Linked DNA regions of Lonchura striata. The protein of the gene in region 3 interacts with the protein of the main gene of each other region in a pairwise test. Links are inferred from orthologs where the notes say so. Each region holds a gene or a part of one and is shown on either strand. Other genes may lie near its edges. The genes, in order: PRKAR2B, zinc finger and BTB domain-containing protein 8A and KIF5B.

Region 1 (10,995 bases), on a different chromosome or scaffold from region 3:
TTCTACTGAGCATGGTAACAAGTGGGTAGATAAATGTTGAGAATTCTCCCAGTCTTTTCACCTCAAGACGTTTCCTTCAGCTTGTGGATAATTCCTACGTCTCTTTTCTGCACATCTCCATTTCTCCATATTCTATTGAATATATGAACACTATATCTGTACTTTTTTTTACTGGTCTCAGGAGTGCTTTATTGAGGGAAGATCTCCCACTCCTGTTTTTGATCTCCCTCTTGAAACAAGCAAAAATCTCATTTGTCTACAGAATTACACCAGAAATTGGAGTAAAGCTGTTTTTCCATTCTGATCACCAGACTCTTCTAGAAGCACTGCCTTCCAAGACAGAGTCCTTCTGTTCTGTAGAAATCTCTTTCTTCTGAAGTCAAAGACTTAATAAAGAGCTTGTAGAGTATGATTTTCTTTAAATGGACAAGTCATCCAGATCATCCTATGCTTCCCCGAGCTCAGTGGTATCACTGTTCAACTGGGTTTTGTGTCATCTCAAAGTTACATCAGCAACATTTATACTTGCTCCCATGTGATTGCAGGAGGTGTTGAACAGAAGCAGCCTACAGTCAATTCTTGGGGAACTTCTCCATCTGATGATTATTTTCTGTCATTAGCTACTTGGAGAGATGTCTCTGTTACCCATTTAACAGGTTGTCTTGACAGTGCATAGTGCCATTTTTATAAAAAGTGTAGGGCATCAAACGAAATAAGATCCTCAAAATAGATGAAGTCTACTACATCTACACTTCCATTTTATTTCATTACTCTTAAAATGGGAAGGTTTACTTTTAATGACAAATTCAGTACTCACTATATCGACTTTAGAAACTCTAGGCACATTTTTCTGAAATTACAGGTGATTATGAGAGCCCAAACTGAGGCACATCAAAAGGAGCACTTTTCTAAGAGACAGTATCCTGTAGTTTCTGAATATCAAGGATGACAAACAACAGATTTCAATGGCAATCAACAGCTGTTCATTTACTGAATAGTAGCACTTGTAAACAGAACTTGTAACAAATCACAAAGCTCATATTCCCTGGAAAATAGTTTGGGTTTAAAAAGGACTTGGTGAGTGAAAAAGCAAGGGACTTGAGGTTAGAATATGTGATACTCTGCATTTCTTTTGAACATATTATCTCAGTAAATGAGGTGGATGGAACACTTGGATTCAGGACCAACATAAACCAACTAGAATTTGAATTGCTGATAATGTGATACTCCTCCTCCTGAGCCATGACTTCTGCTCTCTTCTCACGGAGAGCATGATGATTCATCTCAGCTCTAACAGTCATATAATTTCACTGACTACATAGCACTACAATGCCTAAAAGGTGATACAAGGGAGAGGAAATGAACACTTGTTCCTGGGTTAGCAGGTGCCATTTTGTGTGAGGAAACTCCTCAAACTGTGTATGTGGTTAATCTGATTGTGAATTGGTACTGAAAGTGGCAGGGACTCTTTCATTTACACTGCTTTGCTGCTATTCTGTTTCTTCAGGTGGATTCCTTCCACCCAACTTTCAAACTTGGCCCTTCTGTTTGCTCAGGGAAAACCTTCATTGACGTAAATAGCAATTTTACTTAAGTATGTAAGTGGGTATTGGTTCTTGCCATTCTAGGTTTACAGTAGGCAGTGGAGGAGTTAAGGGGTTTGAATCCACAGAACATAAGCACAGACAGAGTAAAGGGTATGAGATGAAGGAGATTCAATTGAAGGAAGAATCATGGGGAATATGTTAGAACTTGATTCATGCATCACAGGCACTAGTTTCTTATATTGTTTAAAGAACTGAACATTTTTCTGAAAAATGGATTTGGGCTTGGTAATGGATTTTGTAATACAATAATGGTGACATTCGAATGAGAATAGAAAAGTGTGAAACTATGGATCTACACAACTGCAAGTTTTGTTATTGCTGGAAAATTCATTGCTAAGTGATTGCTATTAAAAACAGTTTCAAAATTCTGCGAGCAAGATTTGCCTATTAAGCCAGAAGGACCTGAGTAGGAAAAAAAAAAGTCAATACATGTAATATTTTAAAGGTATTTTGGAAGATCAGAAATTGGTACATGATTATTCCTATGAACTGTGGTTGTTCTAAACTCACAAACCAGCTATCACTCAGTCAAGAGCCAGGAATAAAAAACATTACTGTATAGCTGATGAGATTTTGAAGCAAATATAAAACATGTTGGGATTTGAAGATGCCTTCTGACCAGCAGCTTTTTTGGCATGCAGTATGCAAAGTGTATATTTACTTAAAATTTCAAAAGCCTGGACAAAAGATTTGAGATATCACAAATCAATGATCTTTTAAACACGGGAAATTTAGGGAGTAACATCTCCCAAACACAAACATGAGTCTTTTCCTACTATCCTGCATTAGGCAGAGGGCCTGGCTTTGCCATGTGTTTCTCCAGTACAATATGAACTCTTTCCATGGAGAACCACTGTAGAAATGACTAGATTGCCAAATTGAGAGAGACTGTTACAGATGATGAGATCAGGATCTCTTCTTTCTGGGCTAGCTCTGCAGCAGGTCCAAGGACACAGTAAGAACAATCTCTCTTGCCTGACAGGATGTAACAAAGGGCAGATTTAAAAGCTGGTATTCCACTGGTGTGCTTTCTAAAGTTGCTTTCCTCAGGGGAGAAAGGGCTTTGCCCTGGCTTACACCCTGATGTTAAGTGTACACTTCTGCCCCTCTGAGCACCACCACAGCATCGCAGTTTAGCCGGGGTTCATCGGGAGATGGTTGTTGGAGAGCAGGTCTTGGGAAGCACTGGGGAAAAACATTCTTATCAGGCAAAACATTGAAAGCTGGCAGAAAAAAAAACAGGCTTGTAGTTGGATGCTGAATGGACTTTGTTAGGTCAAGTTTACTAAATTTACATCGACCTGGTAAAGACAAAGCCTGAAAGTCTGGCACTCATCTGTTCTGCACTGAGTTAATTGTCCTCCATGTGATCAGAAAATATCTCATCCTCTGAGCTCTGACAAAGTATTCCCAGCCACTGTCTGAAGCATGCTGTCTGGAATTGTCCTGTGGGAGACAACTGCTATTTCTCACCTGTTAGCTCTAATCACCTAGTTTCTCACTGCTGCAAGCCAGGTGAAGGGACAAGAACGACATGCAAAGCAGGTAAGCAGTATGTTATGAAAAGGGCATTTGTTGGCCAGGAGGAAAGGACATAACAAAGTCTTTATGTTATTTCCTTTGGAATTGTGAGGCGAATATTCTGCCTAATCCTTTTTCAGTACAGTAGGATTTCTGTAGGTTGTAAATTCTCTTTCTTTTCAAGAAGATATTTACAGCTGAATGAGATGGCACTCAAAAATTAGTAGTAGCTAATGAAACTCATTGGAGAGGTGTGAACCAATACTCTCACTATCTAACTGTTCACTCTGCTAGACATAACACATATTTTTGGCAGCTGTCTTCCTTACAAGGATTTAAAAGCAATTTAAATATCAATACAAGGTCTTTGGAACAGAAAGCATCTAAGGAAACTAGATGACACCAACTTGAACTACAAAGTTTCCTGCCATCCTTTGAGATACACAAACCTCAAGGTAAGTTTCACTAGACACAAATGTTTTGTGCTGTTTTGAAACCTTTTTTAGAAAGAAGCATTTTTTAGAGTTCTTCCACTTAGGAATCTCTTATTCAAATTATCTGAGTTTTACATAAAAGCATCAAAGGCTGGCTCTTGAGGATGTCTTCAGAGGAGTGATCTCATTTTAAGTCTGGGAGGATGAGAGTCTCTGACAAACTAGGGGAGTCCTTGATTAAATGGCGAAAGACACTATGCTACTGGTAAATTCCTAGAAAAAAAGACTGCCTTGTCTGGGTACAAGAAAACCTCAGGGATGATAACTCTTCTAACCTTGGAAGACTCCATTAAATGGAATATTATATGCTCACAGGACACCTAGTGCTTGGAAGGCACTAATTACTAACACTTCTCTTCCTGGGAGCTTCCTCAAAGCTTAGGTATGTCTCAGCTTGGTCACAAACAGATCAATCCTATCAGTGGTGTGAGAAGGTTTTTAAGCTCCCAAACTTGTGAACGAGGCAATCTGGTATTTCGAGGTAACCCACGCTCCAGACTAAGCTATGCACCTGTCCATGATGTACAGGTGCCAGCTCTCCTGCTGCACCTGATTCTCAACCATTTTAATGTGCTACATGCTGCAGCAGCAGGGCTTCCAGCAGGCAGGTGTGGTCAGGGCATGCCAGCACTGCAGCAGGGCATGGAGTGGGGGTGTGCTGGCAGCCCCCTGGACGCTGCAGCAGTTCTTGGAGCCTGATGATAGAGCAAGCTTCTGCAGTCCAGAGAGAACTCGTAGTCTGCCTCCAGACGACTTAGCTTGACTTTGAAGAGGTTCCTCAAGCAGGACGGTGCTAAACAACAGTGAATTTAACTTCAAAAAAGTACTTTATGCCTGCAGCATAAAGTGAAGCCACAAGATGTTGCCTGAAGGTATTCCACAGCTCAACTGGTAGAGATGTCTCCTGCCTGTTACAGGGCAGCAATATCACCCACGCAGGCATGGTTTACTCACTTCACTAATTTACCTGGTCTGTAACACTTTGAAGATCCAATCTGTGAACCAAGCTCCATTTGAAAATACATACACAATCAGAACTGGGTTCCATTTGGAAATTAATTGAACTTAAAACTGGCTTTGATATCCCTGCGTGAAAAGTGTCACAGAGATTGCTGTATTTTGCTGTCACCTTATTTTTTCGAGGTCAGGTCTTTCAGTATCTCGCTACTGCAAACTCACACTTGACTGCTTATCTTACCCTAAGCCCCTATGAAGCTCATTGCAAGGCCATTTGAAGAATGCTGAATGTTTAATGAAATCTATTCTCAAACAGCCATGTTGTCACAGCCTTTAGAGGGTTTAGCAGTTAATTTGCTTGATGCATAAAAATAAGACTCGAACAGATCTTTCTGGAACCCCAAAACGTTGGCCAATATTCAGAGGTGATAACAAAGGGGGGGGGGAAATGCAGCTATCAAGCATTCTATGGACTTCACTTTCAAGAAGCAGTTTAGTGAAGCATTGAAAAACATGGCACCCGTAATTGCTACTTACTCTACTTAAAACATTTAAGCTTCCTGGTGATGACAAGCAGCACCCACTTACCACTGTGCTAAGTATCTCTGCAGCATGGCTTGGAAGAGCGTCTATGCCGAGCGTTGGCATTCAGCAGTGTTTAAATTGGACTTCTTCCCCCATTTTTAAACAATTCTTTCTTTTTCCAGCTAAATTTTTCGTGGACCTGAAACAAACAGGATGTTCTTGCTTGCACCACATCACCCCTCCCAAACTAAATGATACAGATGAATGTAAATCGACAGCACTTGTATGCGTATGAATGATGTGGAGAAGAGCTTTAAGGTGGTGCATGGCCGTGAAAAAGCACAGCAGTGCACTGCGGTCCTTCCCTGAGCGGGGACACGTCCGCTCAGCGGGAATCCCCGCTGGTCGCGGGGCGGATGCCCGGACACCCCCGCAGGGAGACGGCGCTCACGGTTTGGGTCCCCGGCAGCCCGTGGGTGGCGGGGGCCGCGGTGCGCGGCGTGGCCGTGGCCCGGCAGGGCAGCCCGTGCGGGGGCAGGGATGCGGTGCCCTGCCCTGCCCTGCGCTGCCCGCCGCCCCGCCGGCTCCCGCGGCGGGCGGGCGGGGCGCGGCGGCCGCAGTCCCGGCGGGAGGTTGTCATGGTTTCCCGGGTCACATGCGCGCGGGTTCCCCGGCGCGGGGGGAGGCGCCGCCGCCGAGGCAGCCGGAGCCGCTGCCCCCCGCGGGCCCGCCCCCCGCCCGCTCCCACCTGCGCCGCCGCCCGCCCCTTCCCGCTGCCCACGGGCGAGCTGCCGGGCGCGCCTCGTCCCCCGGGCCGCCGACCCCCGGCCCTGGGCTCTCCCCCCCTCTCCTCCTCCTTCTCCTCCTTCTCCTCTCCCCTTCCCCTCACCCTCCCCCTTCCTGGCCGGGCTGCGCCCCCCCGGCCGGCCCCGGCATGAGCATCTCCATCCCGGCGGGGCTGACGGAGCTGCTGCAGGGCTTCACGGTAGAGGTGCTGCGGAGCCAGCCCGGGGACCTGCTGGAGTTTGCCCTCCAGTACTTCGGGCGCCTCAAGGAGGAGGCGGCGACGGCCAAGGCGGCGGCGGAGAAGGAGCCGAGCGGCCGCCGAGCGGGCACCGGCCATGACAGGGGCACTCAGCCGCCGCGCCGGGGCCCCCCCGACGCCCGCGGGGTCAACTTCGCCGAGGAGCCCATGCAGACCGACTCCGAGAGCGGCGAGGACGAACAGCCGCCGCCGCCGCCGCCGCCGCAGCAGTTCCCGGGTAAGGCTCCCCCACCTCGCCGGCCCGGGGGTGGGGGCGCGGGGGGCTCCGCGGCCGCCCGGGCTCGGTGCGCGGCCGCGGGGATGGGCTCGGGGCCGGGCCGCCCGCGGGTGCGGGGCCGCGGGGCCGCGGTGCGCGGGCACGGCAGCGGCGGCACCGCGGGCAGAGACCGCCCGCGCCGACAGCGAGCCCGCGGGAGGCTCCCCGTATCCCGCGGCAAACTTCAGCCTCCCGGGCTGTCCCCTGGGGCTCGGCGTGCGGGTATCACCGGCTGCGGCGCTGGAAGCGTATGAGCCTGGCATAGTCCAGCGAAGATCTATCCGTGTGTTTCCTTTTTATAGGAGCAGATCTGCATTCCGTGATTAGTGCAAGGGCATGTCTGCCTTAGAAAATACCTCCCGTGGGCATGTTGTTCACGCACTTGATTAAACGTTTTGCGTAGATGTACTTACATGTGTTTTAGAAAGTAGAGCACAATTTAAAACATAATTTCTTCCTGAAAGCCAGAGTTAAATTTTGTGCATTTAGAAGGGCCTGTGGAACAAGTGTTGCTGTGACAGCAAAGGACATTTGCAGTATCTTTGTGTTTGAAGGTAACACCGATCTACACGCAGCTAATGACACCTTATCTTTGTGTGGCTGACAGGTTTTATTTAGGGACTGTGCCAATCCATCTGCTGGTGTGGGTTATGGGACGGGTGGGAGCTGCCTCTGAAGGGTGCACAGTGCTTTGTCTTTGTGTCATGAGCAGGCTGACTGAAGGGACAGTCAGTAAGGTTAGATGGAGAAGAGGAAAGCGTCCGAGCATCTTTATTGTATTTTTTTGAGGATAGCTTGAGGCGTATCTTATCAGATCATCAAAGCAGTCATCCCTCCGAGTCGTGCTGGAGGTAGACTTACTTAGCAGAGTATGGAAGGCAGCTGTTTGCTAGTTGAATTTCAGTGCAGGTTTTGAAATGATGTCTTATGTGCCTTTCATCAGGAAATGTAGATAAACAAGTAGGTGTTTAAGAAATGGGTGAGTTTTCAAAATGCTTTGTGTTACCCCATAAGACAGTCGCCATTCTTCTCATCTGTTCTTTCCAGCTATACCCACATGTATTTAATGAGAAATTGAATCTGTCAATCAAGTTCTGCAATTTTAAACTGTAATGCTGATTCTGTGAGATTGGTAGAAATTTGAAAATTTGCTGTCTTTGAAAACTGAAATAATCATAATGTGGAAGAAAAAAATTATCGCATTTCACTAATACTAGATGTGGCCTTTCAAACATTAATTATTCTAACACCAAATCTCATTGCTAAATGGAAAACTGGAATGTTGTATGGAGGGAAGTACATAAAAGTAGTTTTATTTATTAATATGTATGTGTTACGTACCTGTAACTTTACAGGATGCTCTAAGAAGCTTTCTAAGCTTTTCAAATGAATACCAGTAATTAAGATTCTTTTGACAGTCTTTTTGTTGTGATTGTGAAGAGAAAAAGCTATTATTGCCAATATTCTCATTAAGGGACATGCTAGAATCTCTTAGTTTGACAAATTGATTTACTTGTTTGACAAAAACCCTTTAAAATGCCACATTTTTAAGCCTAATATATTTTGAGCATTTAATTGTATTATGGTTTGTAAATTCTGTCTGTTCAAATAATTGTTAATTAAAAGAAACAAAAAATGAAAATATTTGTGAAGCCATGTGAAGATTAATAAGAAGTAACTCATGGTAAATGATTATTAATAGTGTGCTTGTGTATATGTACATTGTGCAGGAGTGTGTATTTAAAATTCAAATTTTATGTCTGCCCTGAATATATTCTTCTAAGGTAACATAACAATGAATCCATTCAGCCTTTTGTTAATAACTGGAGGCATAAAGGCTTGTACTCAAATATTTGTTTAATGGGTTTAGATACCAATTTCAAAGCATGTTTCTTCTATGCTTTTGCTTTCTGTTTCTAGAAGTAGCAATTTTTAAGAACTGACGCTTGGGAGAAAGTTTTAAATTTTTTTTGCCTTTATGATTTATTAGACGACTTCCATATAGCAAATTTGCCCTGTTTGCATCCTTAGGAGAGGGCAATAAATTTAAAAAGTGGATAAGCAAATGCAAAATGAAAACCTCTGTTAAGGAGGTCAGGCCTGGTGGTGGTGGTATCTTTCCTTTGCTAAAGCCGTACATTTGAAATCTCAAACTGACAGTGTTCCTTAATTAATTCAATCAGAACATTGTTGAGCTCTCACTGTAAATGCTCCAAACTTTTATTTTCCTACCAAATGTTTTTAAGTACCTACAAGCTCTGCAGTTGAACTCTTTGTCAATATTAGTTTTGTCCTTGAAATGTATTTTGGAAGTGTATCCTGTTTCAGAAATGATGAGCTGAGGCATAAGCTGTGTTAAAAAGAAAAAACCCCTGTACTCAGGATTAAGAGTTATATGTGAACCTTGAATTAAAATCTGTTCAGGTCTTTATTGTGTCCATTACCTCGGCTGCAGAAATCACATAAAGGTAAAAGCAGTTACCTTGTCTGGAGGGAGAACTTTGTTGTATTGGTGTCATAGTTTTGAATTGACACCTGGAGTTAAGGTGACCTCAGAAATGACATTCTTTATGTTCAGAGCATTTAGATTATCCTCTTTGGAACACATGGTTTAATTTGGGAATGTTTTTCAGGTTTTCTAGTTGGTTTGTTTGGTTGGTTTTTTAAAAAAATATTTAATTGTCCTACATGGGTATATTGGCATTAATCAGTTACAACAACTAATTCCTACTCAAATAAATAGCAGACACTAAATTGAACAGGAAATATACATAAAAATGAGCCCTGTTTTAGAAAATATGTCTAACTTTTAGCAAGTCTGAATTGCATATTAAGATTTATTATATTGTGTTAGCAACATTTGAAAATGCTCATTAAATTATTTATTCTTTTTACAGTGACTATACTTTTCTTCTGACTTTACCACTTACATATTGATTTGCAACTTATTTTGATGGGCAATAGCCTATGTAATTTGTAACAGCTGTTTTAAAATGGTTGCCGTAGATAAAAATTTCATCTAGCCTTAATATGAATTAGTTGAAGAGTTTTTTGAGGTAACATTGCTGTTCCTTAAAGTCAAAAATTACAGTGCTGCATATATCATTTGGCACACCGTAGCCTCTGTTTACTTGATTTTTCTTTTGTTTTGTTTTACTTCAGTTTGTTTTGGTATCTTTTTCAGATAGTGGTGTATTTTAACAGGAAAATACTACAGCTGTCCCTCTCCTCCCCCGTGTACTTCTGTTGGTGTGTTGGTTGCTTTGGGTTCCTTCTTTGGAAACTTGAGCTAGAAAATGCAAGTCTGTATCTCAGCTTAACCCACTGATTGTGCCTAAATAATATGAGATCACTGTTTAGGTAAAACATGCATATTCTACCTTACAATACTAATTTTAAAGGCATGTCTTTATTTTAGTTCATTTATTCAGTCTGAAGTGCTTACAGATGTACTATTCATAGAAATTTTGAAATAATAGGTAAATTGTAGAAACCAGAAAAAACTTTGCACGCAACTACATTTGTGCCATGTGTACGTAATGGGCAGATCAGAGCAGTGGAAGGGCTCAGGAAGGACAAGGTAGCAATATAAAAATACATACAAGTTATAGTGGGATACCCTTAAATCAGGGGTTGTATAGAAAAGCATGTGATTTTCTTATAAATATATATATTCAAACTGAAATCTGTGGTATGATGGATAATGGCTGAAATCACTACCATCTGATATGTACTTAGCCAACATGAGAAATGAAGTTTTAGTAATTTCTACGGTCACTCTTTTGAAATACAGAAAGCAAGCAAGCATTATTTGTATGATTATAAGGACAACCCCAACTGGACCCAGGCTGGGGTGGATGCAATTTAGAAGAGAAGTTTCCAGCCACAGACCAGTCCCTTGGGAGCATGGCATTGTTGGAGCATTCCTTGGCAAGGCTTTGGGCCATATCTCCTTGCAATTTTCTAGACTATGCCTGCTGTCACTCAGAGAATAACGTGTAAATTAAGTGTTCAGGGTGGGTGTTTGAGAAGAAGATGGATTCTGTGAGGGAAAAGAATTCCAGATGCAAAAATTTGGTGCCTTGCTGGTCCAGTGGGCCTTGGTCAGGGGTTGGCTACTGGCTGCTATTCTCTGTTAGTGTACACAGTCACAAAAACATAAAGCTTTCTATCCTTGCTGTAAATCTTAAAAAAAAATTCAGATTTTCAAAATTACAGTTTTCAGTAATTTTGACAGGAGCAAATGAAAATATTTTCTTTCTGCGAACAGTTATTTTAGAGAGTAAACCCAAGCAAATTGGCAGTTGTTTGTGGTTTGTTTGGGTTTTTTTTAATTCCTTAATCTGACACAGGTGTTTTATTCAAGTTGAGAGATTTGTCATCAACAAACTTAGTTTGACAAAATTATAAGCAACTGGAAATGTGAAGTTGTAATATATACCATTTATATACCACTTTTTTGGTAGGATTTTGACTCCCTTTCAGACATGTATCTACTTGTGATTATAGATGAAAGAATGCTTTTGACACAGCCACTTAAAAAACATAGGTATGTTTATATTAATAATTTAGTTGAAATGATAGCAGCCT
Region 2 (10,789 bases), on a different chromosome or scaffold from region 3:
AATTCTGTAGACAGATTTGGCTGACAAAGAGTGAGCAGTTCCTCCCACTTGGTGCTGTTTCCTGAGGGTTTTGGTGTAAAGATTTTCCACTTGGCAAACTTAAAAAACCCAAGAGCCCTCTGATTTAACCAGGTTTTTTTTTTTCTGCATACCTCGTGCTTTTCTTGTACATGTTGGAAAAGAACAATTCAGCTTCTCCCTGTGCTTCATCCAGCAGTGAAACAGTCCCACTGTCGTGTCAGATTTATTTGTGAGAGGTGCTGCTGCTCTCACAAGTGCAGCCAAGGGTTCATTGCCACACCAGGTAGGATGAGGAAAGAAGAAACAAAGTTCTTTTTAAAGAATTCACTTTATTGGCGGCTGCTGAGCAGAGCAGAAGGTGAAGAGACTTCCTTTGGAGTGGTCTGGTCCAAGTTCTTGATGAGTGTCACCATGTCATGTGCTGGTTTTATTTTCTGACTCTTAATTTGGGTGAGTTTCAGTCATTCCTGTTCCAGGTCTGCTGGAAATTTGAGTTTGTAGGAGCTGGAACACAGGACAAGACCTTTACAGATTTCCCTGCTCTAGAGCCCCTGTTTTAGTCGATCTGAATTAAGGGACATTGGAGGGACAACTCCTGGAGGTGCCACTTTTGGAGTTGAGCTGCTCTGAAAATCCTGCTGTGGTTTTGGCTCCTTGGTGCTCTTGAAAACCTGAGCAAAATGTGGGGCTTGTAGATCTTGCTGGAATGTTTGGAAAAGCACCTTCCATCCTCCCAGGGCTTGTCTTTTGGACTACTGGATTTTTGGTGAGTCCACCCAAAACCACAGGGTGATAAAGGTGATAAAAGAGGGACTTTCTGCCTTGAGAGCCATGGATAATCTAATTTTTTTTTTTTTTTTGGGAGACTCGCTGATGGAAGTGAGGCAGGAATGTAAATAGGGATCCAATTAATATTTAGCGACCAGGCTCCCCCAGCTCTGGTCATGAAGATTCCACCTTGTTGTAAATATTGGTAGAAGCCACTAGACCTGGAATATCAGCTGGGCCTGCTTCTGGCTGGGAAATTCCTGCTGTGGCCGAGCTCTGCTGGCTCTGAGCCCCTGGAGGCACTTGGAGCAGAGAAAATGAACCCTTTGGAAGGGATATTCCCTTTGCAGGAATATCTGCAGAGACCTTCTCCTTCACCCTGCTGTTTTTGGTCTTAGAGATTTGTCCTTGTGTGTTTGTGCCTAGAGAATGGAGCTGTCAGGGGTCCGGGGCGGGCGGGGGGAGGCTTTTCCACAGGGAAAGTTCCACCAAACTCGGTGTTTCCTGTTAAATTGTCATTTTGTGCTGCCTTTGTTTTGTTTTTTTTTTTTTTTTCCGTGGAGTCTTTTCAGCCTTTGGATGTAGAAGAGGATGGAGTTTATTTATCCACATTCTTGTGACCCGGGGTGTTCATGTAAATCCGTTTGCTTGTGCTTTCCACTTTGTTTTTTGGATGTTTTTTTTCCTGAAATCTTCCATTTGTAGATCCAGCCTCTACAAGCTTTGAGAAAATGATGTTGGCTGTTTAAAAAAAACAAAACCTTCCTGTGGTGCTTGAGGAAGAATCAAAAACCATGTTTTTAGGGGAGTTATTCTAATAGAATCTCTTTCTCAAAGGTTTTTAAAGGCCGCGAAGATGACGTATCTTAAAACTTAGCTCGTTGTACTTGACTTTGTTTAGGAATACACATTTTAATGTATTTTTGCACAGAAATGCACTGTATTTCACTGAAGGAATACATGCTGCACTGGTGTTTGTAGTGCATTTAACCTCTTGGTGCGAAGCCCTTGTAAATCTTCCAAATGTGGTCGTTGAATTCCCTGATGTTTTGTAAGACAGTTTCATAACTGAAGTCCTTTGGTCCAGTAACAATGACAAATTCTTATAAACCGAACCTTATTTGTGGAAGTGACTGAACTATATTTGTGGATCTTGGAACATTCTGGAGTTTTTTGATTGTCTAGAAAATAAAACTCTCTGAGAGGGTTGCTTTGATTTTTTTTTACTGTTCCCATGTTGACTGAGTAAACCTGAGAGTGTCTAGATTGAAGGCTCACGTTTCAATTTCTGGCATTAAAATTAAATAATTATTTCCATTCCATTAATTTGGCTTAAAAATTAATATATCCATTTTTGGGGACAGCTAGTTTGCAAGAAAAATCAGGTTTTTGGAAGGAAAAGACTAAAAGGATTCTGTTCACGTAAACCCCAGCCAAGTGAGACTTTTAGAAAATATTTTATATTATTAATACTGGCTTTTTTTTAACAGTCTTGTAGTTTTATGTTAATTCAACTTTTTAAACTCCTTTTAAAACTTCTCATTTTTCTTGCTAGGAAGCAGACACTGATCCCAGCTAGGAGGAAATACATGTGAGGAGGACAACATCCCAAATATCCTTTCCAGAAAATTTTGTGTTATATCCAATATTTGACAAAAAAATCTTGCTGCAAGTAGACAAATTTCCCTTTTTTTTGTTTTTTTTTTTAATTTTTTTTCTCATGAAAGATTGAGATGCTGAAGAACTCAGAGGGGATGAGGGTGGTTATCTCCACCCTTGGTGAAAAGGATTCTTTGTGGGGGAAGGAGGAGGAGAGCAGGGCAGCTGAGGGTGTCAAAAAGCTTGGGAATGATTTGGGGAGGAGAATTGTTTGGATCCAGCCCTAAGTCATCAACATGAGCTGGATGCAAATGTGGGACAGTTGGGTGTTCTGAGAAACAGCTGAAAATAAAGAGTTTAAGGAGGGTTTTAATTGTCCTGCTGGATCAGGATTAGGATCAGGCTTTCCCTAAACTGGCCTTGCTGCCAGAGGGAAGAAGGGAAGATTCCTCCCTGGGTTTAGGACAGGACATTCCAATTTCCTGCTCATTTGGAAAAAGGAAAAATCTCCTGGTGCCCTGGAGGCTCCATGGATTTGTACTGGAGATTTGGTTTTATACTCGAGATTTCGATTTGTGCTTCTAGATTGGATTTGTATTTGAGATTTGGACTTGTACTTGAAATTTGGATTTGTACTCGAGATTTGGACTTGTGCTTCTAGATTGGGATTTGTGCTTGGAGATTTGGATTTGTGCTTCTGGATTTGGATTTGTGCTTCTACATTTGGATTTCTACTCGAGATTCAGATTTCTACTCGAGATTTGGATTTGGGATTTGGATTTGTGCTTCTAGGCTCAGATTTGTACTCGAGATTTGGATTTCTACTCAAGATTTGGATTTGTACTCGAGATTTGGATTTGAGATTTGGATTTGAGATTTGGATTTGTGCTTCTAGGCTCAGATTTGTACTCAAGATTTGTATTTGTATTTGAGATTTGGATTTGAGCTTGAGCACAAAGGTGGAACTCAAACCCCGGGTGATTCAACACTCCTGGTTTGGTCCTTGGGAAAGGTGAGGAGAGGAATGATGATGCAAATGAAGACAACCCCAATCTAAGGTGGCAGTGATCACATGAAAGTTGTAATCCCATGCCTGATTAATTTCTAGGCTTTGAACAGTTCCTTAAGTTGTTCTAGTATAAGCTCTTGAGTTTTCCTTGGTAAAAAATATCCCTGGATAATTCAAGTTGTAAGATGCACCATAACTGAAGGCTGTGATTCCTGAGGAATGTTTATTTTGAAGAGAACTGCAATCTTTAAATTGGTGCCACAGTTAATTAAACTATTATAATACATTACACTATACCATTATATATTATTACAGTTAATCCTATTTGGTTACCAAACCCAAGGAGAAATGTACATTAATTTTTCTGTGAGCAAGAAAAATATTAATTTTTTTTAGTGTGATTGTTCTCTGAAGAGCAGACTCTACATTCTGGCTGTGAGGAGCAGCTCCTTCACACTGCTGCCAAGCACATTCCCTCTGGATAAACTCTCCAAACAGCATCTCAAGTGGAACTTTCTCAGCTGAAATTTGCTCTAAAATTTAGAAATAAAACCTAAAAAACCTCTCTGATGTCTGGGATTGTTTGGGATGCATTATTGTGCACAGCAAGATGAAATCAGCATCTCAAGTGGAACTTTCTCAGCTGAAATCGGTTCTAAAAGTTAGAAACAAAACCTAAAAAACCTCTCTGATGTCTGGGATTGTTTGGGATGCATTATTGTGCACAACAAGATGAAATCAGCCCCGTGGATGAGGAAACCAAAGTTTGTTCTGTGGCTGTTCCTGGATCCACAGCACAGCAGTGAGCAGGAGGTGCTCTGAGGAAAGCACTCGTAGCATCTTTAAAAATTCTAATTAAGCCACTCCAGATAACATTGACATTTCCCCCCATATTTTTTAAATTCTCTTGCCTGTTCCTGGCAGAAGGAGAACCCTCGAGCTCCTGTTGACATTGATATAAAACCCCACTGACAGAGGAGTGAAAGCACCACCCAGGCAAGTCAAACAGAACAAATACCTCCAGATAATTCTTTTCCAAAGGAAGCTTTCAGCTGATGGAATAATTTGGGCAGAAGTGTGGAAAAACATTTATAGAATATTGAGAAACATGGTGTCCCTGCCCATGATCTTTAAGATCCTTTCCAGCCCAAACCATCCTGGGATTCTGTGATTCCACATTAAATAAAAAGAGGTGCTACTTACTTGGCTTGACAGGCAAAAATAAACTTTAAAGGAATTCATTTCAATGGTATTAAAACCTGATACTAGAAATAAATGTTCTGGTTTATATATTAAATAATCTGATGGTTTAGTTGATTGCATTCTTTATTTCTCAGTGGTAAGAGCTGTGAGAAGCTGGTTTGAATTCCAGTTGTTTCATGTTCAAGAATGGTTGATTTAGAGCAGAATCTCACAGAAGCAGAATGGGTCTCATGAAGATTTTAAGAGCACGGCCTGGGTTTGAAAGGAGAATCTACAAAACAAAGAGAGTTTATGAAAAAGGAGGAATTAAGATGGAAAATAATATTGTAACATATACATATATATCTACAAAATATGAATGTAGAAATTAGAGATGACAATGTATATGATGTAGTGGGAGAATGGCTCTAATGATCAAAGGAAATAATCTTTGGGTTGTTATCTTTAGATAAATTCTTTAGCCAATTTTGCTACAATGGGCAAAGAAAGAGAAATTGTTTCAAGGTGGAATGTCTGAAGTTAGAGAAGAGAAGGCCAAAAATGCCACCAAGGGCTCGGTTAGGGAAGAACGGTTTCCATGGGGAAAATAAATATTTATGAAAAGTAACTAGGGCGTCCAAAACACAGAAAAGACCCTGGTGGTAAGAAGAGGAAGGGGAAAGACACTAAACTTCGAGGGAGAGAAGGTGAGAGGTTCAGGTCTCGCTTTCAGCCATGCTTTCTTCAGAAGATAACAGACACCAACAGAGACAAGAAGATGTCACATCTCCTTTGGAGGACGCCGCAAGAGAAAGGAGAAGGATTTGGGTCATCGAGGGCCCTGCTATAGATAAAGGTGTGAAAAGGAGGCATCTAGGGCATCCCATCCCCTCCCGGGCAGCATGTGGGTGTGGGAAGCGGCGAGCGGCGGCGGCCGCGGGGCGCGGGGGCCGCGGCAGGCGCTGGGCTGCGGCTGCAATCGGTGCGTTGCCCCTTTAATTGTGTCCCCAGCCCTCGGGCGTCTCTGTCCAACGCCCACGTCAGCAAATACCTTTTGTTTCTCTCCCGTTCGGGCTCGCAGGGCTCGGGGCTGCGGGAGCAGCGGCGCGTCGCCTGCAGGCACGGCGAGCCCCGAGGCGGAGCCGGGGATCCCGCAGCCACCGCCCGCTCCCCCCGGCTCGGCGGCAGCCGCCCGCAGCACCCCGCCGGTGAGTGGCGGCTCCCGCACGCCGGTAGGCCGGGCAGGGCGCTGGGATTGGGGCGGAACGGGCCCCGCAGCCAGCCCGGCTGCGAGGAGGGCGCGGGGCTCCGCAGCGGCCGCGGGCGCTTCGGGCCGCCCGGAGCCGCCGGGAACCGCTCGGAGCCGCTCGGTGCCGCCCGGAGCCGCCGGGAACCGCTCGGTGCCGCCCGGTGCCGGCGCTGCCGCGTCCCCGGCGGGCGCCATTTGCAGCCCCGGGCGCGGACACAAAGGGGCTGCGCGGGGCGGGCGGCGGAGGCGCTGCCGGCGGAAGCGGCTGCGGGCGGCGGGACGGGAGCGGCACCGGGCGCTGGGCACCGGGCACCGGGCACCGGGCGGGGACACGGGGGGCTCTGGCGGAGCGGCAGCCGCGGCTCCGTTCCCGCGGGCGGCACGGCCGGGCCGGGGCGCTCCGTGCGGGCGGAGGGGAGCGCGCAGCCGGCCGGGGCAGGCGGGCGCGGCGGTCCCGCGGTGGGAGCGGGGCCGGGCGGCTCCGGCGCCGTCGGGCGTCCCGGGCTGCCGGGGACCGGCCGGGCGGGTGAGTGACGGCGGCCGCGGCCAATGCCGGGGAGGCCGGGGCGCTGCCGCCGTGCCTTCCGCCCGAAGCGGGGCCCGGGCGGAGCGGGGAGAGGCGGAATCGCGGGTTCGAGGCGGAATCGCGGGTTCGAGGCGGAATCGCGGGTTCGAGACGGAATCGCGGGTTCGAGGCACGGCCGCGGTCGCAGCCGCAGCTGCTCTTGGCTCCTCGTCTTCCCGGAGCTGCCTGAAGGCTGCGCAGCTCCAGCGGGCGGCACGAGTCCAGCCCCGCATGCTGCCCCGCATCCCGGGAATGGATTTGCTGCCGGCTCTAGCACAGCCGTCCGTGCCAAATAACGCGGTCTTGGCTTCGCCATCCCTCTTGTTCTGTTGGGAAATGAATCTATGGTTGAGCATATCGTGGTTTAAATATATTTGTAGATTTACAGAAATGCTATTGTTTGTAAAGATAGCTGTAAAATTGGGTCTGACATGTTTGGCTGAGTTACACAGCACTGAAGTCGAGAGTGAAATAATTTTCTTCATTTTTTTTAGAGGAACGTTTCATTTCACCTTTTCTGGGATGGAGATTTCTTCTCACCAGTTTCACCTCTTGCAGCAACTAAATGAGCAGCGCAGGCAGGACTTGTTCTGTGACTGCAACATCCTGGTGGAGGGCAAAGTCTTCAAAGCCCATCGCAATGTGCTGTTTGCCAGCAGCGGCTACTTCAAAATGCTCCTTTCGCAGAGCTCGAAGGAGACGAGTCAGTCCACGACAGCCACTTTCCAGGCCTTTTCTCCTGACACCTTCACAGTTATCCTGGATTTTGTGTATTCAGGCAAACTGTCTCTCACTGGTCAGAATGTGATCGAAGTCATGTCGGCTGCCAGCTATCTGCAGATGACCGATGTGATCAGCGTGTGTAAAACCTTCATCAAGTCGTCGCTGGACATCAGTGAGAAGGAGAAGGATCGCTACTTCAGCCTGTCAGACAAAGATGTCAGCTCCAACGGCGTGGACCGATCCTGCGTGTACAGCGGAGGGTGGAGGGCAGAGAGCAGCCCCCCGCATTCCCACTCCAGCCCAGACCCTGGGACTTGTATGATGGGCGGCAACACTTGGAGCAATTTCAACTATTACCCCAGCTCTCAAAGAAATGCCCAGCAGCAGCTGTCTAAACACGAGCAGCGGCAGGATTCCATCAAGAAATCCCGGCACCTGGGGCTGCAGCAGCCTTCAGACATCCCCCACTATAAATCCAGCAAGCTGGAGGACAGGGCTGCCGAGCCCGCCGGCCACGCCGCGCCGCCCGAGGAGCAGGTCCACATCGACACGGAGGTGGAAGCTCCTCACGTGGGCTACCAGTTTGGCCAAGGGGCTGAGGTGATGCCCAGGGGCTTGGCTGTGTCGCAGCAGGAGCACGAGTCACCCCGCTCCTCCAGCAAATCCAAATCCTCCAAAGCTGAGGAGCAGTACGGGAGCATGCCCTCCATCCTGGGAGTCATGGGGAACTGGGCTGAAGGTGAGTGGGGTTTAGACACCTGTGAATCCTCTCTTCTGCCTCTGAGAAAATAGGTCTTACTCAATAGTAAAGCACAACTGTCAAAAAGACAGCTGTATTGTCCAGAAGTGTATGCTTAGAAAGTTTGAACTCATTTCCTTGAAATCATTCTGAGTTCTTGAAGTACCTGGGGTATTGAATTTAAAAATAAGTATAAGTTGGGATATTTTTAAGTTCATTTTCATAAAATCACAGAATACTTTGGGTTGGAAAGGACCTTAAAGCTCATCTTGCTCCACTCCCTGCCATGGGCAGGGACACCTCCCACTATCCCTGGTTGCTCCAGGCTCTGTCCAGGCTGGCTTTACCAGGTCTGTGTTAATACAGCCAATGGCCCACTCCTCCTTTGTTCCACTCCTGTGTAATCTACAGACAAACACAAATCCTTTGTGTTTGAAACAACCCGTGGATATTTTAATAAATGACCTGCTATTCTCCTCATAAAACACTTTTTCCTAGAGCATTACATGACACGATTTTGACTTTTTTTTTTAAATCCCATTATTTTCTGACAGATGACCTGTCCAGGATGAGGTTCAAGTGTCCATTCTGCAGCCACGTGGTGAAGAGAAAAGCCGACCTCAAGCGTCACCTTCGCTGTCACACGGGAGAGCGGCCGTACCCCTGCGAGGCGTGTGGCAAGAGATTCAGCAGGCTGGATCACCTCAGCAGCCATTTTCGAACTGTGAGTATTTTTAGCAACTGCATGATTTATTTAACATGTAAATCTGGCTAATTAAACACAGTGTGAGTGTATCTGGTTGATCTAATGACTCCTGTAAAGAAGAGGGGAATGGAACATTAATTTGGTTTGGCTGCAGTCGAATTGAAGGATAATTTGCAGGAAAGAGGAGGAATTTGTTGGGTAATTGATGGCTTGCAGAGGTTCTGCTCTCTGCAGCCTGTGAGAGCTCCAGTGGGCAATTACTGTGCTGGGGCTGGTGCAGTTCAGCGTTTGATGTCTCTGAAATTAAGGCAACATGTCACCCTGATTCTTAGGATTTTCTAAAGCCTTCTGAATTTACATTCTGTTGGAGAACTTTCCCACACAATTTCTGTAAACAACATATTGTTTACATTCTTTTATGAGGGTGGAGAAACTTGATGTACTAGTGGTTTGTCCAATGTGTTTGGAGAGGTGGCCCATTCACTCTCCAACCCAATGTCACCTTTGGGAAAGTATAAAAGTCGGAGTCAGAGAATAAACTTTCTTCTTTACCTTGGAAATAGCAGGTGGCTCGCGTCGTGCTTTCACGTGTCCTATAGCGACAGCAACGCTGCGATTTGATTTTTGCCATCTCCCAAAAAACCCATTGGTGTTTTACAAATCCATCCCTTCTCGATTTCCCCAGATCCACCAGGCGTGCAAGCCCATCTGCAGGAAGTGCAAGCGCCACGTCACCGAGCTGACGGGCCAGGTGGTGCAGGAGGGCACGCGGCGCTACAGACTGTGCAACGAGTGCCTGGCCGAGGCGGGCATCGACAGCATCCGCATTGACTTGGAGGCGGAGGCGCCTCTGGAGTTCCCGCAGGATGGGGACAAGGATTCCAGGTGGCACTACGGGGACGACAACAGATCCGACGTGGAGATCGTGGAGGACGGCTCGACCGACTTGGTCATCCAGCAAGTGGATGACAGCGAGGATGAAGCGGAGGAGAAGGAAGTGAAACCAAATATTAGGTAGTTGGAAGAAAAGGATTGGGAATTCCGTGGAAGAGGGAGGATGTACTGTGGCCAAATGCCCTCTGCCAGCTGATCCTACAGAGACATGTGGTTGAACAGGTCCAGACTTGCATGTATTTATGGACACGTCATTGAGGCCATGCTGGTTTGTTAGCAGAACCCCCGTGCGTTGTTTGGTTAAAAAAAAAAATCCATCCTGAAATTATGCATCAACAAAGAAACTGCAGTATTATGTGGATAATTTTTATAGAGGGAATGGGGCACGTCTCAAAGCCCCTTGCAAGGAGGTCTAAATACTTTTTAAAAATCACAGATTATTGTAAATTGCCCATTTTTCACACTTGTAGAGAGGTGGGGTTTATATATCATTGGGTTATAAACGAAGTATAAAACCCCCCACACCAGACAACCTCTCTTGAGTGTTCAGAAGTGAAGAGAATCTTCCATGAAATTTCATGAAATCTTCATGTTATGATAAGGAAAAAGGCAATTAATTAAGAAAGAGCATTTAAAATGTTTTGGCACTTTTGTCTGGAAAAGGACTTCTGCAAAATTTATTAGGATGAGGTGAATCTTAATGCTTAACACATCAGAGACAAAACAGTTAAAAATTTGGATCATCAATTGATGACAGTAGATGTTTTAGTCTCAAAATTAGGATATCAGACTGGGCTGTTTTAATAAGCACTATTAAATTACTCTTTTTTAATATTTTGAGACCTTTCAAAAGTGCCCAGACATGGTGGGATTGTTGGGGTGCAGGGCCAGGAGTTGAATTTGGGTGATCCTTGTGGGTCCCCTCCAGCTCAGGATATTTTCCAGTCTGTACCAGTGAGACCAAGATGTACTGGAAGTTCTAGACACCATATTTGTGTCATTTCACCCACAATTAGGCTACAGAGATGAGTAATGGTGAGGAAATTTTACTTTTCTAACAAAATAAGCTTGGTTTTGCTGCTTAGTGAGATTCTCTTACCCAGCACTGTCAGCAGGAGAGGAGCAGGAGATGCTCCTGCTGCTCTGCATTCCTTGGACACACCTGAGTGTCTTTGGATCATGGAACTCAATGGCTGTAGAGTTAGAAAATGATATCTATTTTTTTCTTTTTTACAGCTTTGTAAGCATGTTTGGCTGAACCCCGGGGTTTCTTACACAACAATCCCATATACATATATACATATGTATATATGTATATATACTATATAATCTTT
Region 3 (10,483 bases):
CTCTTGTACCCCAACTACTTTTCTTGTTTCCTTCTGTAAATTCAAAACAGTCCCGCTCCTTGCCTTCAGCTCTGGCTCTCAGATCAAACAGACTGAAAAAGCAAAGGCTGCTAAACCCCCTTGCCAAAACACGGAGCAAGATCATTTGTTCACTGATTCACACACAAGAACAGACAGCAGTGGGCATGAGCTGGGACATTTTAATTTCAATAAAAGATTCTGAAGGACTCTAAAAAATATGTTCATATTATGTTTTTCCTAAGTGTCAGCTTTGGTGTTTTGACAATCAAAATCGGAGCCCTACAAAAGTCTCCCCACCAGATTTCAGTCTTTAGGTTCTCTTTTATAATTCCCACATTAAAGGATTCTACATTTTCCTTTTGCAACAATGTAAAACAATTTCTAAATTAATTTAAAAAAAAATAAATTATCAATTTTTGCACAACTATAAAAAACTATAGCTTCAGGCAGGCACCCAGAAAGCTAAGATTCAGTGGTCCGTTTAGTAAGGGTTATAAACAATGAAAGCAACTAAGAATAGAGATTTATGATAGGATGTTCTACACAACATATGCTGAATGCTTTTAATGGTTAAGAATATAAACAAGGTCCACAAGTGTGTTTCTTCTTCAAAGAGAATTGGAGTTAATGCTTTAGGTAGTGAGCAGACAGAAATTTTTGCATTAATTTGCACAAATTAGCTGAAATAAACATCTAAAATGTGACATTATTCCCAGAGTTTTCTTTTACTTTTAATTAGTCTATCGCTATCAGAATATTAAATATGATCTTGCTGATTAGGAACAAATTAGAGGGTTTTCGGGTTTTATGCATTTCCAGCTAAAAAGTGGAATAAAACTGATTTTTTAAATTAATTACATTTTTCCCAAGAAGAAGTTACCACATATCAGCAGGAACACTCTCAACATATTTCACACTAGCTCACCTAAAATCCATAACTTGATTTAGACAGGAGATCCATTCCATATCGTATTATTTGCTGGAATGAAAAAAAGCTTTTTTGCAACCAGATAAGAGCTTAAAATGATCTAGTTGGACTCCAACAGTTTCTAAGGCCATTGAACTTCATTCACCAACCTTCTAATCTCAATAAACCAGTTAGTGAATTTCTCAAGCTGAGCTGACCAGACACATTCTCTTGGTAAAGAGACTTAAAATATATTTATATTATTTAAGATATATTTGCACAAGCTGCTTGAGCCATAACACTTTGTTCATTTTAATTACACAGTTTCAGTGTCAGGTGATGTTGCTAGACTTCATAAGTCATCTTAATAACCTTTATTTACAGAGTGTGCTGCAAACAACCAAGAATTTTGTTTGAGGTACACTGTATCTGGCAGATTAATCTCTCTTTTGTCCTGCAAATCCACTTGCAAATTTGGAAGAAATTTGACCCAAAATGCACCTCAAATTCTCAGAAGTAATGTAATATATTTTCCCAGCACACTGCAAATTAAAATGAGAAGAGTACTTGTGTTTGCATAAAGCACTCTGAATGTCAGCAAGTGCTGTCAACCGATGAATCTCAGAATTTAATCCTTTAAAGGGGCATGAGGAAGCAGCTTTAATTTGCTTCTCCACAAACACCCGGTTTAAAGATTTATTCAAATATGTAATGTTCTTTTAAAACCAAATCAAGATCACTTTTGCTCTGCTAGAACAATTTCGATGGTTAATTACATAATTATCCCGATATAGCTTCCCTGTAAGGCTTAGGTTTGCCAATTTGCTTTGCTTTGCAGGTTTTTATTGCTGGGAAAGACTGAAGATCTGAAAGAGCCATAAGTCATAAAAGAATTTGCAGAGGTTTATTGCACAGTTCATAAATGGAAAGAAACATGGTTAGTGAACTAACAACACAAATTCCTCACATAAATTGCTTTAATAAAACATGTTAGTCTTTACTAAGAAATTTTACTAAACTTATTGTCAGCTACAACTGAGATATAGATTTTTTTTCTCATTATATTACTTTTAAAGATAGTCTCTTATCCTAAGTGTCAAAAAATGTATGCTATAGACATTACATAACAACATAGAAGACAGCAAATATATTCTTAATTGGCAAAGAAAGTGCATTCTGTTATTACCACAAAATGGGAAACTTTCCAGGATGCTTGGTCTCTGCCATGTTCTCAGGAGACCACATCTTTAAACACAAGTCCTCAAGGCTGCTCTTCTGACACATCTTGGCGCCAGTAGAGATAACACAGTGCCCTCTTTGAGCACACGGCTTTGTTGTGTCAGCCTTTAAGTAGGTCATGCCAAGGAGCAGTTGCTATTTTGAACAGATCAGAGAAGAGAAACTTCATGGCAGTCCCTGACAGGGATCTGAGAGCACACGAGTGGTTCAGCAGAGCACCTTCACCAAGAGCTCCCACAGCTGGGATGGGACACCATCAGCCTCTTCTCCTATGGGCTCACACAGGACAGCTTCAGAGTGGCCAGTTCCTACTACAGAGTTCACACATGCTGACATCTTTTGTTTCAACATAGTTAAAACGAATCATTATCTACTCATGTGTCTGTGTTGTCCTTGTGGAATGTCTGCTCTGTCAAACATTCAACAGGTAGGTAAGCAAGGCCAAGCACCTATTTTCTTGACAATCATGTAATCACGAGGTTTCTTTTTTGACTGAGATGTTCTAACATCGGGCACTACATGTCAGTAAATGCAGATAAAGGTACATTCCTTCTGCTTACGGATAACAAGAACTAGAAGTTTCTTCAATACATTAGGGGAAATGATATTCAGCAGGTGAAATGTACTTCTGTGAGTAATAATCACAAAGTTGTTTATTATGCAGCTAATATTGCTTTTTCCTGATGTACAGAAGTAAATTAATTTAAAAAGTAGTAAATATTCAGGTTCCTTTCATAAAAATAATAACCTTCTGTCACAGGAAATCTTTGATGATTCAAATCCTACAGCTGCATAAGAATATTGCTAGCCATAAGCTTGTGAATAATCCCAGAAATAGATGAGATAGAAGCATTAATACATCTTGCTGCTTGAGATACAATGTAATAATATCTAACATAGCAACCAACTAAAACAGGTTTTCTGACATGTAAAACCTAGTAACAATTATGTTTAAAGCATTTTATTGAAATCTGTAGACAGATGTCTGTGTATATCTCATATGCTAGATGTTGTGGACTAGCACTGCACCTTCTACAGACTGAGCTTATATCTTGCTTTTTCCAGACAACTATTTCCACATGTGCTCATAGGTGTGGACACATCATTGTTGCTGCCCTGAATAAGACAGCACAGTCCCGCTGCATTTTTAATCACAGTGGAAAAATAAACTTGTTACAACATGAACTCAGTTTAGAAGACATAGCTTACCTCATAAGATAAACTAAGCACAGAAATATTTTTTGCATTACTCTGTGAAAAGAACCTATAAGTGCAACTAGATTATTAGGTTATTTTTCTGTCATGTGGAGCAGTTTTGAAGTGTTTGCCTTGCACACCTATCCTAAGTAAAAACACATCACTAAAATCCCTAAACTGAACATCACTAAAATCCCTAAACTGAGAAGTCTTAAAAATGGGGGATGGCTGATTACAGATGGTCCCTGTTAAAATTTACAGTAGTTTCTCCTTTTTTATAATGAAAAATGAGTATTTTTAAGTACACTTAAAACTGCTCTTCTGAGTAATTCTGGCTTACTAAAATACACTAACTTAAGAGAAAGGCTCCCTATTCTTTTTCCATTTTTAAAAATTAACTTCAAGGCTATTTGAAAAATTACCAGTACAAATTATGATTTCTGTCAAGAAACTGGCTGAACTCAGCCAAGCTGTGAGTTTGTACTCTGTTCCAATCTGAAAGTTCATGCTTGGATGAAAGAGGCACAGTTGTAAAAGTGTGAGATTTTTGGGGCTCTCTGTTAGAATTGTTTACCTGATGCTTTTGTCTAGATACAGTCCCTAAGTTTTGGTCAACTACATTTAGAGCCCCTATAATAAATATGTAAACAAAACTTGCAATAAATTAAGCTTAAAAAAATTCCTGTCCAGATTTTCTTTTTTTTTTTCATTTGGGGTGAAAAAGTGGTGAGAGTCTCCATCCTGGGGGCGACATAATGAGCTGTGAGCTGTGTGTGTTCTGATCCCACTCGCTGGGTTCCTGCTCCAGGATGCACACAGGCAACGAAGCTCATGGGCACACTGGCATCTGTGAACACCTCATGGGTGGGAATTTTCTCTCTTTTAGCTAAAAGAGGAAAAGAAATGTAAACAAACAAACTAAAAAACCCCAAATATCATAGGTTCCTATCTCAACCACCTGCTTTAAGCCTTTACCTCACACTCAGCCCCTAAGGTTTATCACACATACACTGCTGTCCCCAGCAGTGCCATGCCCTGCTGGGGTATGTCTGACCTGTCCAACACCAGCTGCCAGCGGAGCTGAGGTGGCAATGCAGATCGGTGTCTGACATGGCCATGTCACCTGTCCAACACCAGCCACCAGCGGAGCTGACGGAGCTGAGGTGGCAATGCAGATCGGTGTCCGACATGGCCATGTCACCTGTCTGACACCAGCTGCCAGCAGAGCTGAGGTGGCAATGCAGATCAGTGTCCGACATGGCCATGTCACCTGTCCGACACCAGCTGCCAGCGGAGCTGAGGTGGCAATGCAGATCAGTGTCCGACATGGCCATGTCACCTGTCCGACACCAGCTGCCAGCAGAGCTGAGGTGGCAGCACAGATTGGTGTCCAGCATGGCCATGTCACCTGTCCGACACCAGCCGCCAGCGGAGCTGAGGTGGCAATGCAGATCAGTGTCCGACATGGCCATGTCACCTGTCCGACACCAGCTGCCAGCAGAGCTGAGGTGGCAATGCAGATCAGTGTCCGACATGGCCATGTCACCTGTCCGACACCAGCTGCCAGCAGAGCTGAGGTGGCAATGCGGATCTGTGCCCCACATGGCCATGTCACCTGTCCGACACCAGCCACCAGCGGAGCTGAGGTGGCAATGCGGATCTGTGCCCCACATGGCCATGTCACCTGTCCGACACCAGCTGCCAGCGGAGCTGAGGTGGCAATGCGGATCTGTGCCCCACATGGCCATGTCACCTGTCCAACACCAGCCACCAGCGAAGCTGAGGTGGCAATGCAGATCAGTGTCCGACATGGCCATGTCACCTGTCCGACACCAGCTGCCAGCGGAGCTGAGGTGGCAATGCGGATCTGTGCCCCACATGGCCATGTCACCTGTCCGACACCAGCCACCAGCGGAGCTGAGGTGGCAATGCGGATCTGTGCCCCACATGGCCATGTCACCTGTCTGACACCAGCTGCCAGCGGAGCTGAGGTGGCAGTGCAGATCGGTGCCCGACATGGCCATGTCACCTGTCTGACACCAGCTGCCAGCGGAGCTGAGGTGGCAGTGCAGATCGGTGCCCGACACTCCTCACTAGGGCGGCAGCGGCCTCATCCCTGCAGCCCTCTGCCCATCACCTGCCTGAGGGAGCTGGGGGTGATTAGCCTTCAGAAAAGGAGGCTCAGGCGTGATGTTTTTGCTCTCTAAAACTGCCTGAAAGGAGGCTGCAGCCAGGTGGGGGTCAGCCTCTTTTCCCAGGCAACCAGCAACAGGGCCACAGGACTTAGCCTTAAGATGGCCCAAGGGAGGTTCAGGTTACACAAAAATAATTGTTAGACATTTGAATGGGCTGCTCAAGGAGGCTGTGGTGGCTGTCCCTGGATGTATTTAAGACTGGATGTGGCATTTAGTTGATATACATTGTACTGGATGACCTCAGGGCTTTTCCAGCCTGATTCTGTGTGGATGATGCCAGGCTGTGCAGGAACGTGGAGGAGTCACCATTCCTGGAGGAGTTTAAGAGGCATCTGGACTGGCGCTGGGTGATATGGTTTGGTGCTTTAGGGGCCACAGGTAGTGCTGTGTTGACAGTTGGACTTGATGACCTTAAGTGTCTCTTCCAACCTTGATGGTTCCATGATTCCATGATTCTATAATTCTATGATCCGATGAGTTTACGGCCCCATGACCCCAGCGGCACCGCGACTCCAGGCGCTGCCATGGCGCCCCGCCCGCCTGAGGCAACCCCGCCCCTGCCCGCGCCCTCGGCGGCCCCGCGGGCACCGCCCCGCCCGGGGGCGGAGCCGCGCCTGCGCACAGGGCGGGGCTGGGGCGGGGCTGGTGCTGCGGTGGGTGACGTCACCGCCCGCCCCTCCGGCGGGGCGGGGCGGGAGCCGCGGCCGCAGCCGCCATGGCCGGTGCCATGTTGGGGAGGAAGTGAGAGCGGGAGGCGGCGGCGGCGGCCAGGAAGGAGCCCTTCCCTTTTCCCTCCTGCCGGGGCGGGCGCGGCTTTCCCGGCCACGGCGGCTTGCGAGACCCCCCCGGTGCGGGCGGTGCGGCGGCGGCAGCTGGCGGCGGCGGAGCTGAGCGCCCCGGAGGCGGCGGCGGCCTAAGATGGCGGACCCGGCGGAGTGTAACATCAAAGTGATGTGTCGCTTCAGGCCCCTCAACGAGTCCGAAGTGGCCCGAGGCGACAAGTACATCGCTAAGTTCCAGGGCGAGGACACCGTCGTCATCGCGGTGAGGGCCCGCCCGGGCGGGAGAGGCGGGAAGCGCCGGGGGAGGGAGGGAGGGAGGGAGGGGGCGGCCGGGGTCGGCGGGGTCACGCCGCGGGGATGGGCGCGCTGTGGGGCGGGAGGGCTCGGAGCGCCCGCGGGCGGGGACCCTCGGGGCGGGGAGCGGCCTCCTTGGAGACCGAGGCGAAGGGGAAAGGGGGCAGGGACGGCTGCGGGCGGGGTGAGCCGGTCCGGGTATGGGGGGCGGTGGGGCAGGTCGGGAGACCTTTGACAAAGGCGCAAGTGCCGAGGTGCGGAGTGAGGGCGAGTCCCGCAGTGTCCGCCGGCCGGGCGCTGCCCGGGCCGGCCGGCCGTGCTGTGAGATGCTAAATGCACGCGTGGGGGCTGCCGCCCGATCGCTGTCTGCGGAGAGTTTGGGCAAGAAATGCGGAACGGCAGTGCAGGCTCCAGAGCTGTACATCGGTCTTCAGCTGATAGCTTCTTTTTTGTTGTTGTTAAATCAGAATAAACAGACCATTTGCCTTACTGCATGTTCCTAAGTGTATTTTAAGTGGAGTCTCCTTGCAAGGTCTCCTGTTAAAAACATTATGGATGTTGTAGGGGAAAAGATAATCCTTTCCTTTTTCTCCAGTGAATCATAGCTAGCTACAAAGTGGAGCTAGAATATAAAAATAAAGTGCAGTTGTTTGTTGCCTGGTTTGGTTGATGTTGTACAAACACACTTTAGCCCCAATGTTTGTTTTGTTTTTGTTAACTTTTAATTTGTGTTTTCGTGTAAATATATTTCATGAGAAACTGCTGATTCTTGCTGAAAGTAACTTAGAGACCAGTTATCTGTCTAAAAATTTTAGGGGTTTATGTTTTGTTTTTTGAGGCTACCAATAATAGCTTTTTTTGCACAGTATCTGAAGCTGCAGGAAGCAATAGAGGCAATTTAATAAAATACTTTTTTTGTAATAGGATTTACTAAATACTAGTGCTTTAGTCTGATAATATTCAGCTGAATTTGCCAATAAAATATGGAATTCCATGAGTCTGGAGTGACAAGAACAATAGCATTCTTGTGAAATGAGGTAATTTGGGTTTATTTCAGCTGGCAACTTACTATCTTGGAGTACATCACTTCTTCCTGAGGTTGTACAGGTAAACTCAGAGGAAGGAAGCAATCCTGGAAAATGGAAAATATAACTTGAGTGAATAATCTCACTTTCATCAGTAAATACCCATTCATTGTGACACTGCATAGTCTGTTTATAATCCACAGTTCATTGTAGAAACCCTAATGTGTTCTAACTTAAAAATAAATTTTCTTCAGTAGCCCTCGTATAAATGAAAGCTTATATTTCTAAAATATTCTTTAGGTGCATTTTTAAAATATCTAAAATGTAGAGGTAAATAAATATCTGAATATCTAAAATGTGCAGAGGTAGTTCTGTATCTGAGTAGAACAATTTGACATTATGTTCCTGAGGGATCAGGTGGGCTTTCTGTTCAGAATTGATGTTTAGTGTTGCCAGCTGTACCTTGGTGATTTCACCTTGGAAAAAATCACAACAGATTTCCTAGTTGTCCTGGATCCAGGACTTGCCATGTCTAACTTGGGGGAAGATGCCCCCAAAATTATTAAATGGGGTAGCAGTGACAGTATTTGTGTCTTGTTTCACAAAATTTGAATAAAGGTTTGATAATCTCTGATTTTGTATTTGTATAATGATGGCTATAGGACAAGATTGATATACTCAAAATTTTGACTTGAATCTCTAAAACTGTTGACAATAACTTGTGTTTGGTGCTTTTGTTTTCAATAGCTTGAGTGAGTTTTTACAAATTTAGAGAGCCTCTAACCTGGGCCTGTAGTCAGGCACCACTTCTTTCTGTGTGTTGCAGAATTGCCCAAGGGAGGATAACAGAAGCAGTGCTCCTGAAACAGTGTCTGAAAGGCTTCCTCCATAAGCTGTGTGTGTGGTTACCTCAGCTCTTTGGTTTCTGCCCTTGTTGCTGCCTGTTGAGCAGTAATTGAGCCACTTTTGGTTTTTTATAGCTGCTTCCCTCAGCTGCCTGAAGGACTTGCACCTCCCGTGGGTGCCTGGCTCGGGGCTGGAGCAGTGGAGGCTGCCTTAATAATCCTGGGAGTTGCCTGTGATGGTCGATGGGAGGGGAAGACTGGGAGGCAGCAGAGCTGATCCCAGGCTGCAGGTTTGACTCCTCTGGAGGAGGGTGGGGAGGAAAATCAGTGACTATAGCCAAACCCTCCTCCTTCCTTGATTCCCCTGTCATCTCTGAGCTAGCTGTCTTCCCTTCTTTTCCTAGCTCCTGCAAAATTAATGTCATCTTTGTCTTTCTGGACAAGTGAGTCATTTTGATCTGTGTTAGATAAAATAAAAGTTTTAACTGTAGCTAGTGTGTAACAGCAGTTTTAGGGGACATAATGGTGTTGGTCTGCTTTAAAGAGCAGATTCTGAAACACAGTATTTTCTTTCCACAGGATGAAACTTTTTAACTAGTAAAGGGCTTTTAATTTTTTAATTGCAGGTGACTTCTTTCTATCTCAATAGTATATTAATTATTTTTTCCTAATGGCTTCTTCTGTTAATTAAATACAAGGATTTTGTTAAAACAGATTACTCATTATATGACTTTTATGTTAAACATTAGAAATGTACCTGTATGTGAAAATTGATAGCAATTTGCTAGTGGATTTCAGGCTTTTGAGTAAGATACAACAAGGAGGAAGAGCAGTTTAATATGGGATTATGTCCTTTGTTTTATCAAACATAAAGCTGCTTGCAACTGAGTAGCTTTAGAATTCTGCATAATGTATCTGAACATCTTTAAATAACTTTCTATATCTAGTCTTGTTAATCTTAAAACTACCCAAAAGATACATTACTGAATACAGTGACACTCTGGGGTTTGGAACTGAAGCCTGAACCAAAAGCAGCACTCCCCAGTGGCTGCAGTGATGAGGCCTTGTGGATGTGCACAGAAATGGGTAGTGTGCCATTGTTGTCCAAAAGGATTTTGGTAATGATAATTGTCCGTTCCTCATTTGTATGGCTTTCAGGAAAGAATCATGCCTACTTATCTATTTTCATATTTAAGATGTACCTCTGTAATCCTGGGAAGAGCTTGAGACATTTGGCTTTCTTTTTTCATTGTCTTTTAAACTAGTGTTGGATTGTAAATGACACAAGGCTAGGTTAGAAAGTTGTTAGAATCAGGTAATGAAAGTCACTTGGTACGACTGCAGCTTTTAGTAGTATGTTTTCCAAAAGAAAAATGCTGAAGACTGTACTGGACTGTATAAATTCAAGAAATTAATTACCTTATTTAAAGAAAGCAGTGTTTAATTAGAGGAAAAAAAGGCATCAGGTCTATAGTGGAACTTTAAATATGAATCAGGAATTGCAATCTGTAGCTGAAACAATACTATTCTTCCAATGTTTCTCTCTATTTCTTTTTCTTAATTTATTCCATTAAATGTTGAGTAACAAAGGTGCTTTTCAGGTGACAGTGGTGTGATGATTTAACAGGAATATTCCGATGTCCAGGAATCTGTAAAGGCAGAGCTTTTCTCCCTGGCTGCAGAGCCACTTGCGTAGAAACACCTTGCTCATATTTGCCTAAGTTTTCTGTCCTGAATTTCACTGAAATTCAGTGACTGTTTTTATAAACAGCAGTACTTGCTTTTCTCTTCAGAAGACACTTTCTACTAAAGAAAAATTTTGGCTGAAACTTTTATTCAAAAAATATTCTGTTTCTGTTCTGGAAATTGAGTTTCTAGTCACAGTGTTAAATCACATGTTTTAGTCATTCTAGAGCAATAAATAACTGCTGAAAGAGTTAATACTTGAGTTGCAGTATTTCCACAGAAATAAGAAAAA

Evidence for each region.
Region 1: the proteins of KIF5B (region 3) and PRKAR2B interact in binary tests that used the Homo sapiens proteins (3 or more experiments, as listed by UniProt). The two-hybrid records come from large-scale screens. The link is inferred for Lonchura striata from reciprocal best matches to the Homo sapiens genes KIF5B and PRKAR2B.
Region 2: the proteins of KIF5B (region 3) and zinc finger and BTB domain-containing protein 8A interact in binary tests that used the Homo sapiens proteins (3 or more experiments, as listed by UniProt). The two-hybrid records come from large-scale screens. The link is inferred for Lonchura striata from reciprocal best matches to the Homo sapiens genes KIF5B and ZBTB8A.

The regions. Positions count from the first base shown.
Region 1 is NC_134607.1:59,473,121-59,484,115, reverse strand, and holds the start of PRKAR2B (cAMP-dependent protein kinase type II-beta regulatory subunit), read left to right. Parts: upstream 1-5,987; 5' UTR 5,988-6,038; coding exon 6,039-6,366; intron 6,367-10,995. UniProt on the Homo sapiens protein: Regulatory subunit of the cAMP-dependent protein kinases involved in cAMP signaling in cells. Type II regulatory chains mediate membrane association by binding to anchoring proteins, including the MAP2 kinase.
Region 2 is NC_134628.1:950,128-960,916, reverse strand, and holds zinc finger and BTB domain-containing protein 8A, read left to right. Parts: upstream 1-6,395; 5' UTR 6,396-6,624; coding exon 6,625-7,855; intron 7,856-8,409; coding exon 8,410-8,579; intron 8,580-9,246; coding exon 9,247-9,579; 3' UTR 9,580-10,619; downstream 10,620-10,789. UniProt on the Homo sapiens protein: May be involved in transcriptional regulation.
Region 3 is NC_134603.1:142,638,477-142,648,959, reverse strand, and holds the start of KIF5B (kinesin-1 heavy chain), read left to right. Parts: upstream 1-6,265; 5' UTR 6,266-6,477; coding exon 6,478-6,603; intron 6,604-10,483. UniProt on the Homo sapiens protein: Microtubule-dependent motor required for normal distribution of mitochondria and lysosomes. Can induce formation of neurite-like membrane protrusions in non-neuronal cells in a ZFYVE27-dependent manner.